Nothobranchius furzeri: one gene and its partner. The protein of the gene in region 1 purifies or fractionates together with the protein of each later gene. This does not show direct contact. Links are inferred from orthologs where the notes say so. Each region holds a gene or a part of one and is shown on either strand. Other genes may lie near its edges.

Evidence for each region. The genes of interacting proteins can lie anywhere in the genome.
Region 2: the proteins of polr2h (region 1) and polr3d purify together in Homo sapiens (affinity purification with mass spectrometry; 4 studies listed by BioGRID and IntAct, with this or other methods). This does not show direct contact. The link is inferred for Nothobranchius furzeri from reciprocal best matches to the Homo sapiens genes POLR2H and POLR3D.

Annotation. Positions count from the first base shown.
Region 1 is NC_091748.1:62,882,975-62,887,076, reverse strand, and holds the start of polr2h (DNA-directed RNA polymerases I, II, and III subunit RPABC3), read left to right. Parts: upstream 1-1,294; 5' UTR 1,295-1,467; intron 1,468-1,700; exon of another isoform or gene 1,701-1,755; 5' UTR 1,756-1,767; coding exon 1,768-1,840; intron 1,841-3,777; coding exon 3,778-3,861; intron 3,862-3,948; coding exon 3,949-4,042; intron 4,043-4,102. Other genes in the region: lisH domain-containing protein ARMC9, read right to left, coding at 167-292, 412-486. UniProt on the Homo sapiens protein: DNA-dependent RNA polymerase catalyzes the transcription of DNA into RNA using the four ribonucleoside triphosphates as substrates.
Region 2 is NC_091757.1:39,754,475-39,758,685, reverse strand, and holds the start of polr3d (DNA-directed RNA polymerase III subunit RPC4), read right to left. Parts: upstream 2,811-4,211; 5' UTR 2,655-2,810; intron 1,681-2,654; 5' UTR 1,675-1,680; coding exon 1,516-1,674; intron 16-1,515; coding exon 1-15. UniProt on the Homo sapiens protein: DNA-dependent RNA polymerase catalyzes the transcription of DNA into RNA using the four ribonucleoside triphosphates as substrates.

The DNA.
Region 1 (4,102 bases):
ATTCAGGTAAATATTCAAAATCAGCTGGACCATCTTGGCATTTGCATACTTGTTAGGCTGTGTACGTCCTTTTGTAGGATTACTGGAACTACATAAACGTCTCCCCACTATGACAGAAAACACACCAACATAGCAGATTTCCATGTTGAAGAAGAGCATTGTTTACCTGAATGACACGAGTCTTAGAGTCTCTTAGAGCATTTCCTCTCGGTTTTGAGACCAGCTTGCCTTTCCTTTTGCATTCCTTGTCAAAAACCTGAACAGTCTCCTCAAACTCCTCAAACGTGAGGTACTGCAACAAACAAACAAACATGATTCAACTTAAACAGTGAAGGATGACACTGAGTTTTGGTGCATTTCATTCATTTTCAGCGAACATCAATATTGCTGTGACCCAGATATCTTCTCTACCTCTTTGATCATCCCAAGAAGATCAGCTTCTGTTGCCAAGACGTCCCCCATCTTGGCTTCCTCACTGGAACTCATGTGTGTACCGAAAACATTTAATACCCCTTTAGACGGGAACGATTTCTGCTTTCATTCAAAAACGTTTATAGATCTAGGGTTCAAGCTAAAAGGTGCAAGAACAAAAGAGCAAAATACATAAGTAAAAACTTAATTCTATGAGCAGTAGTAAAAATAACCAAACACCAAAACGCACAACGGAATGCTAGTGTAACTTCGGCAGGCATGTGGGGTTTTATACCATCTTAAATGGTTTAACATCAAGATTAGCAACAACTTATGAAGCTACAAGCTATCTAATTAGTTGACACACGACAGGACATTAACATGGCTCCTACCTTATTCGCACGTAATTTGATTTGGGAGAATTGACGTACAAACAAGTTTGTGATGCGTTAACAAGTAAACGAGATCCATAAAGTACATTTTTGCTCGCTTTGTCGGACAGTGAACGAAAAAATAGCTGGCAACCACAAACAGGAGGGACGCTAAAAATACCTAGCAACCAGAGGGTCACCGGAAAGTAAATGTGAGTGTCGTAAACTAAAACTAACTAAATGTATTATATTTTACAAGAAAATATATTGAATAACCTTAAGTTATGAGGCATGCGATTTAGAAAAACAAAAGTAAACGATTGTAAATTATAACAACGCACAGACAAACGTAATTGTTGACCTTTTTTAGGATACATTATGCAATTTTAATGGTAAAACTATTATTTTAGTACGAGTATTATATTTTTACAATTTCTTATGTTTTACTTTGCTTTTTAACATAAACATTTATTTTTTCATTTTATTTTGTTTTATGAGAAGTACTTCCCGTGTCAAAGGTTAATCACGTTGTTTCTGCGCGCCACAGATTGGCTAGATAGCAATGAATTAAATTACTCTTAAATAACAAATCTAGCTTATGTTTTGAACAGTCGCTGTTGTCCTAAAGAATCGAGTAGTTGCGAGGCTTCTGTGTTTGCATTACGACATCTAAAAATAATTTGGGGTAAGTGCAACAAATGAATTAACAGTATGCTAAAGCTAGCTGTTAGCCAAAATAGGAGATTCAACGTGGAAGATAAAACTTGCCAACTTTAACTGACGTATGTCCTAGTCTTATTTTTATATAAAAGTATTTTATGGTAATATGCTTATAGCAGTTGATTTCTTGTGCTACCTAACGTTTCATTGCTTTTTAAAAGTTACTATAGTTTATTACGTTTTATTTTTTGTTGACAGGTTGTTCAAGTCATAACAGGGGCTTAAACATTTGATCCCCTGCACAAATTCACAGAGTGGGCCAACGATGGCTGGAATTTTGTTTGAAGATATCTTTGATGTGAAAGACATTGATCCAGATGGCAAGAAGTTTGACAGAGGTACTTATGAAGTACAATAACGTATTGGGGTGACTTATTTAATTATTCCATCATATTGTTTTTGTCGTATTGACATAATGCACAGGTATATTGACTCATGAGTAATCATTTATTCTACGTTTTTATTTGCCCACGTTAAGGCAGACTTTACATAGTGATGTTAAAGAAAATCTGGCATCCTGAAGTTAAAAGCTAATATAAAATTGAAAGACATTCAGCTCATTAAGAGAGCAGTTAAAAAACCAACTTGCTTATTGGATTTAGTTTATACAGGTGCTGGCCAGTAAATTAGAATATCATCAAAAGGTTGAAAATATTTCAGTAATTCCATTCAAAACGTGAAACTTGTACATTATATTCATGCAATGCACACAGACCAATGTATTTCCAATGTTCATTACATTTAAATTAGATATTCATAAGTGACAACTAATGAAAACTCCAAATTTGGTATCTCAAAAAATTAGAATATTCTGAAAAGGCTGAATATAGAAGACACCTGCTGCCACTCTAATCAGCTGATTTACTCAAAACACCTGCAAAGGCCTTTAAAAGGTCCCTCAGTCTTGTTTTGAAGGCACCACAATCATGGGGAAGACTTCTGACTTAACAGCTGTCCAAAAGACAATCATTGACACCTTGCACAAGGAGGGCAAGACACAAAAGGTGATTGCTAAAGAAGCTGGCTGTTCGCAGAGCTCTGTGTCCAAGCACATTAACAGACAGGCGAAGGGACGGATAAAATGTGGTAGAAAAAAGTGTACAAGCTCTAGGGATAACCGCACCCTGCAGAGAATTGTGACGACAAACCCATTCAAAAATGTGGGGGAGATCCACAAAGAGTGGACTGCAGCTGGAGTCAGCGCTTCAAGAACCACCACGAGGAGACTCATGAAAGACATGGGATTCAGGTGTCGCATTCCGTGTGTCAAGCCACTCTTGAACAAGAAACAGCGCAAGAAGCGTCTCGCCTGGGCCAAGGACAAAAAGGACTGGACTGATGCTGAGTGGTCCAAAGTTATGTTTTCTGATGAAAGCAAGTTCTGCATTTCCTTTGGAAATCAAGGACCCAGAGTCTGGAGGAAGAGCGGAGAAGCACAGAATCCACGTTGCATGAGGTCCAGTGTAAAGTTTCCACCGTCAGTGATGGTGTGGGGTGCCATGTCATCTGCCGGTGTTGGCCCACTCTGTTTCCTGAGGTCCAGGGTCAATGCAGCCGTCTACCAGGAAGTTTTAGAGCACTTCATGCTTCCTGCTGCTGACCAACTTTATGGGGATGCAGACTTCACCTTTCAACAGGACTTGGCACCTGCACACAGTGCCAAAACCACCAGCACCTGGTTCAAGGACCATGGTATCCCTGTCCTTGATTGGCCAGCAAACTCGCCTGACCTTAACCCCATAGAAAATCTATGGGGTATTGTGAAGCGGAGGATGCAATACGCTAGACCCAACAATGCAGAGGAGCTGAAGACGACTATCAGAGCAACCTGGGCTCTCATAACACCTGAGCAGTGCCACAGACTGATCGAGTCCATGCCACGCCGCATTACTGCAGTTATTGAGGCAAAAGGAGCCCCAACTAAGTATTGAGTGCTATACATGCACATTCTTTTCATGTTCATTCTTTTCAGTTGGCCAACATTAGAGAAACAAACATTTTTTCATTGGCCTTTAGAATATTCTAATTTTCTGAGATACCAGATTTGATGTTTTCATTGGTTGTCACCTATAAATATCAAAATTAAACGTAATAAACATCGGAAATACATTGGTCTGTGTGCATTGCATGAATATAATGTACAAGTTTCACGTTTTGAATGGAATTACTGAAATATTTTCAACCTTTTGATGATATTCTAATTTACTGGCCAGCACCTGTATAACCTACAGCAGACAATGTTTATAATCTACTGACAAATTCTCACCTATTGCAGTGTCTCGTCTGCACTGTGAGAGTGAATCTTTTAAGATGGACCTCATCTTGGACGTGAACATTCAGATCTATCCTGTGGATCTTGGTGAGAGCGTAAGCCCTTTTACCGAGGGCACTCTTATTTAGTTAATTCTTAATACAATAAAAATCTGACTTATAACATATTATAAAGGTGACAAGTTTAGACTGGTGATTGCCAGTACTTTGTATGAAGATGGAACACCGGATGATGGAGAGTACAATCCTCAGGATGATCGACCATCTCGGTGAGACATTTTTTGCACTCTTCCATCATCTCGTAGTGTGTGTGATCTTTTGATGTTTGA
Region 2 (4,211 bases), on another chromosome or scaffold:
GGGTGTGAACGTTTTCTAAAAGTGGAAGAAAACAAAAACGTGTTAGGTTTTAGACAGTGTACAATAAAATCAGCTTCTGTTGCATCTTTAGTCATCACTTGTCCCTAGAAGCCACGAGTTTTTAACAAATGATTGGTTTTTTGTCTTGTCATTTTCGTATAGATTAATCTCAGTGATATAAATAAATAAATAAAAGACATAAATACTAAATTGAATGAACATTTTCCCCTTGATGCAAGTTGTTTGTTTTTAATAAACAGTTCAAACCCATAGAGTAAACAACCCGGTGTGTGAGCAAATGTCAAAGATGGAAGCAGCTCCCTTTTGGTAAACAGCTTGAGTAAACACTAAGCCAGTGTTGGGATCATAACTGATCCACAGCGTATTAATCGTCCTACGAGTATCAGGTAAGCTTTCTTTGTTCACATTATATTAGAAATAAAGAATTTTAAAGAGCATCATTATTTCTGATTATTATGGGTCACTGAATTTTTCATGCAGGCTGATCATGAAAAAGTCTTCTACACGATAGAAAATAGACAGTAAAACTCTAGGGTGTGAAAAGCCTGACAGATCTACGTCACACTGTCGCTTCACATTCATGGAGCTAGCCCCTATGTCCCAAGCCGTTGAGAACCTGCAGCTCCTGCCTGTGGACATGGAGAGCACGCTAAAGAGGATCAACCCCAACAAGGCCTCAGGACCAGGCAGGATCTCTGGTCATCTGCAGTCAGCTGGCGGGAGTTCTCTGCTTCCTGTTTAACTGCTCGCTAGCTGAGCACTCCATCCCCTCCATCTGGAAGTCCTCTATCATCTGCCCCGTGGCAAAGCAGAACAACCCAGGCATCAACAGCGACTTTGGACCTGTAGCTCTGACATCACTGATTGTGAAGACCTTTGAGAGGCTCGTAATGGCCCAGCTGCTGGTTGATGTGGGTGCATGTTTGGACCCAATGCAGTTTGCATACCAACCACACAGAGGGGTGGATGATGCTCTACTAACTATGCTGCATGAGACCCTCACCCACCTGGAACAGCCAAAGTCACATATCAACCTGGTCTTTGTGGATTTCTCTAGTGCATTCAACACAGTCCAGCCACATCTTATGGGATGTAAACTGCTGAACCTGAATGTTAACTCCCATCTCATCCTCTGGGTCCTCTCCTTTCTCACGAGGAGGGAGCAGAGGGTCAGGGTTAACGGCCATCACAGTACTGTCAGGTCACTCTCCACTGGTTCCCCACAAGGTTCAGTCATCTCTCCACTTCTGCTCATTTTATACACCAATGACTGCAGGAGCACAACCCCAGGAATCACTGTTATCCAATCTGAGGATAAATGTCCAAGTATCAGGAACTAAGACTCCAAAACCTGCTGTCTGAAGCGCAGCTGTGATGTGGGTAACTTCAGTTCCTGGTAATGGTGCACCAGTGTATTGTTTCCCCCTGACTTTCGACTTCCTACTATAAACCACTACAAATAACTATACTTTAATAAAAGACCTGGTGCAGTACCTTTTTTACTCCCCCCAGTGTGAGGTCTCTTGACCTCATGGAAGGGAGGCGACCTGGAGAGATTCCCGATGGTGGTCGGCGGCCCATCAGCAGTCCAACGTTACTGCTGCCTCCAGGAGTCGCCATTCGCTGATTACTGGTGTCACTTGAGTCAGCCATTTTGAACTAAATAAAGTAGGAGATACAAATCAACCTTTTTCACTTGGAATTATTTCTACTGGTATCTGTAGTCATCGTGGACACAACAAAGACTCTTTTTGTAGAAAATATCTAAAAATCACAGATATTTTTGTCTGCATTGGCACCTATTTCTAACGACATTCTGATGGATTTTGTAGCATTTAAAAGCAACATATGAATGCAGGTATTACATCTGGATGCACATCTACATCCACACTGGACTGTTGATGCTTTGCATCTGAGATCTACACATCCTTATCGTAAAAATATCTAATTACTATGTGCAGCCCTAAAATATTGTGTACTTTATATTATAATATTAAACATTGGGTTCAGACTGAAAACCAGTTCTCTCTTTTCTGGATTACAATGGGGATTATGCTAATTAAATGCATCTGTTTACATTCCTCTGTTGGTTTTACTGTTGATCTTATTGACGCTGTTTTAATCACGTTGCTTATATAGATGTTTTTTTAGCCATGGCCTGTGGCTTTTGTCTTTCAGCACCCCATCATTGGAAGCTGATGTGATATGAAGACATGCTAACGAATAGTGAAGGATTGATTTAACTTTATTGTTTAGCTGGGAACAAAAATTGTTTGCATTTATAAAAGTGGCACACAAGTACTTTCAACTTGTCGTTTTAGGCCTGTTTAGCTAAATATTTGGACACTACTAATGAAGGAGTTAACTAGTGCAGTGAAGTCATTTCAGCTGGGTCTCCAAATGACTTAACTTTCTTCACTTGCAGTCAGACTACTGGTTACCACTGAAAACTTTCCTACGGTTAAACTGGTTTTCGTTTCTCTTAATCTACCGTCCCACTACGAAAAAAATACTTAATTCCAGCTAGAAATGAACAAACCGCCAGCACGTGGACATAATGATACAGCACTAGTTCGCTAACCTTCATCATTAGAGAAGAAAAAGTGATATTTAAGCTTTTTCCAGATCCTTACCTGATTTCTTCTTCCGGGGTCTTTATTCTATGTTTATTCACGGTCTGCGAGTCATAATAAATGAACCTTAGCTAGTTGTGTTTCTGTTTCTGAGCCAGCTAGTTGTGTTTCTGTTTCTGAGCCACTGTGCTGCACGACGCCATGACACCTCTGCGTTGTTGTTCCGTTCGGAACGCGCATGCGCAGAATGAGGCGCATGGCCGCAGGCTGCAACGCGGGCGGGGCAACGCGTCTGGGTCACAGTAAAGGAAAGAATGAAAGGAGAAAGGACAGGCAGAAGAGAGAGCGTCAGTATGTCGCACAGTTATTCTCAAAGGAAGGTGGGTTTAGTTAGTGATTGGTTAAATTCAACCTGTTAGCTAGCTTTGATATCCACAATGAGAGGAACTATGTTTCATCTAATTATGGTAAATGGGTTGCTGTCCTTGTCCTTATAGAATCAGCAGCTGGTGATATGTCAGCAGGTGACTCCTCACAACCCAATGAACCTCACGAAGGTGAATGTAGCATGTTAGTTAGCAGCCTCATTTAAGGGGGTCTGTGGGAATCACTTAAGGCTCTCTTCTCTATCAGTACTATTACGAAGGAATATAAAAAGGCTATTTTTGGTGATAAACACATTGTTTTTCCACATAATGATAATTATATATATCAATCAGTAAAAATGTATAGATTGTTGTTGATGCTGGGCAGGTTGAAGCATTGTTATTTAGTCTGTTAATGTAACATAAATTACTGTGAGATTATTAATGTGAAGCACCTTTTTGAAGGCACCATACAAGAAAAAAAAACTCTTCATCTACTAAATACCTTGAAATGAAATGTTTTGAATCTGACTGAATTATGGGAGGTTTTACAAGATATAATTTGTTTATGTAGCTTTGAGAACACAAACCAAAAATCAGTCATTTCCAAATAAATCATCAGAGAACAAAAATGAAACAAAAGCTATTAATAATTGTAATAAATAAACGTAATATAACATTGAACACAATAAAATGACATCTAGTATTGATCGTTATCGAGCATTATTAATTATATCACTGTAAATAATAAATCTTGCTGTGTACAATCAAGGCTGAATATATTTTTAGCAGTTTTTTTGTTGAGAAAAATGGGTGTCTAGAGACTTATATAGGTTGTACCGTTATGAATCTTATAATGGTCTGCCTTAACAGCTGCCCCTTCACACAGTAACATCACCAAGGTCGGACGCTTGGTTCAGTATGTTTACATTCCAGGAGAAGAGACAGAAGAAGAGAAGAAGAACGCTTTTCATTGATTAATCAAAGTACTTTATTTGTGATAAGCTAATCAAAGCACTTTGTGTCTGAAATGCTTTTCAGCTCTCCTGCATGAAGTCCTGGTGAAACAGGAAATAATCCTTCAGCAGCAGCGCGGCCTCACCAAAATGGTGCAGGACCTTTTGTTGCTGTTGCTGCTCTTCAGGGCCTGACCACAGGGGGAAGTGTGGAGACCAGGCACCATGGCATCTACCCCTTGGCAGATGTTCAGGCCCTGATGGCCCTGGAGAGGTGAGCTTTTTTCTGTTCTTTA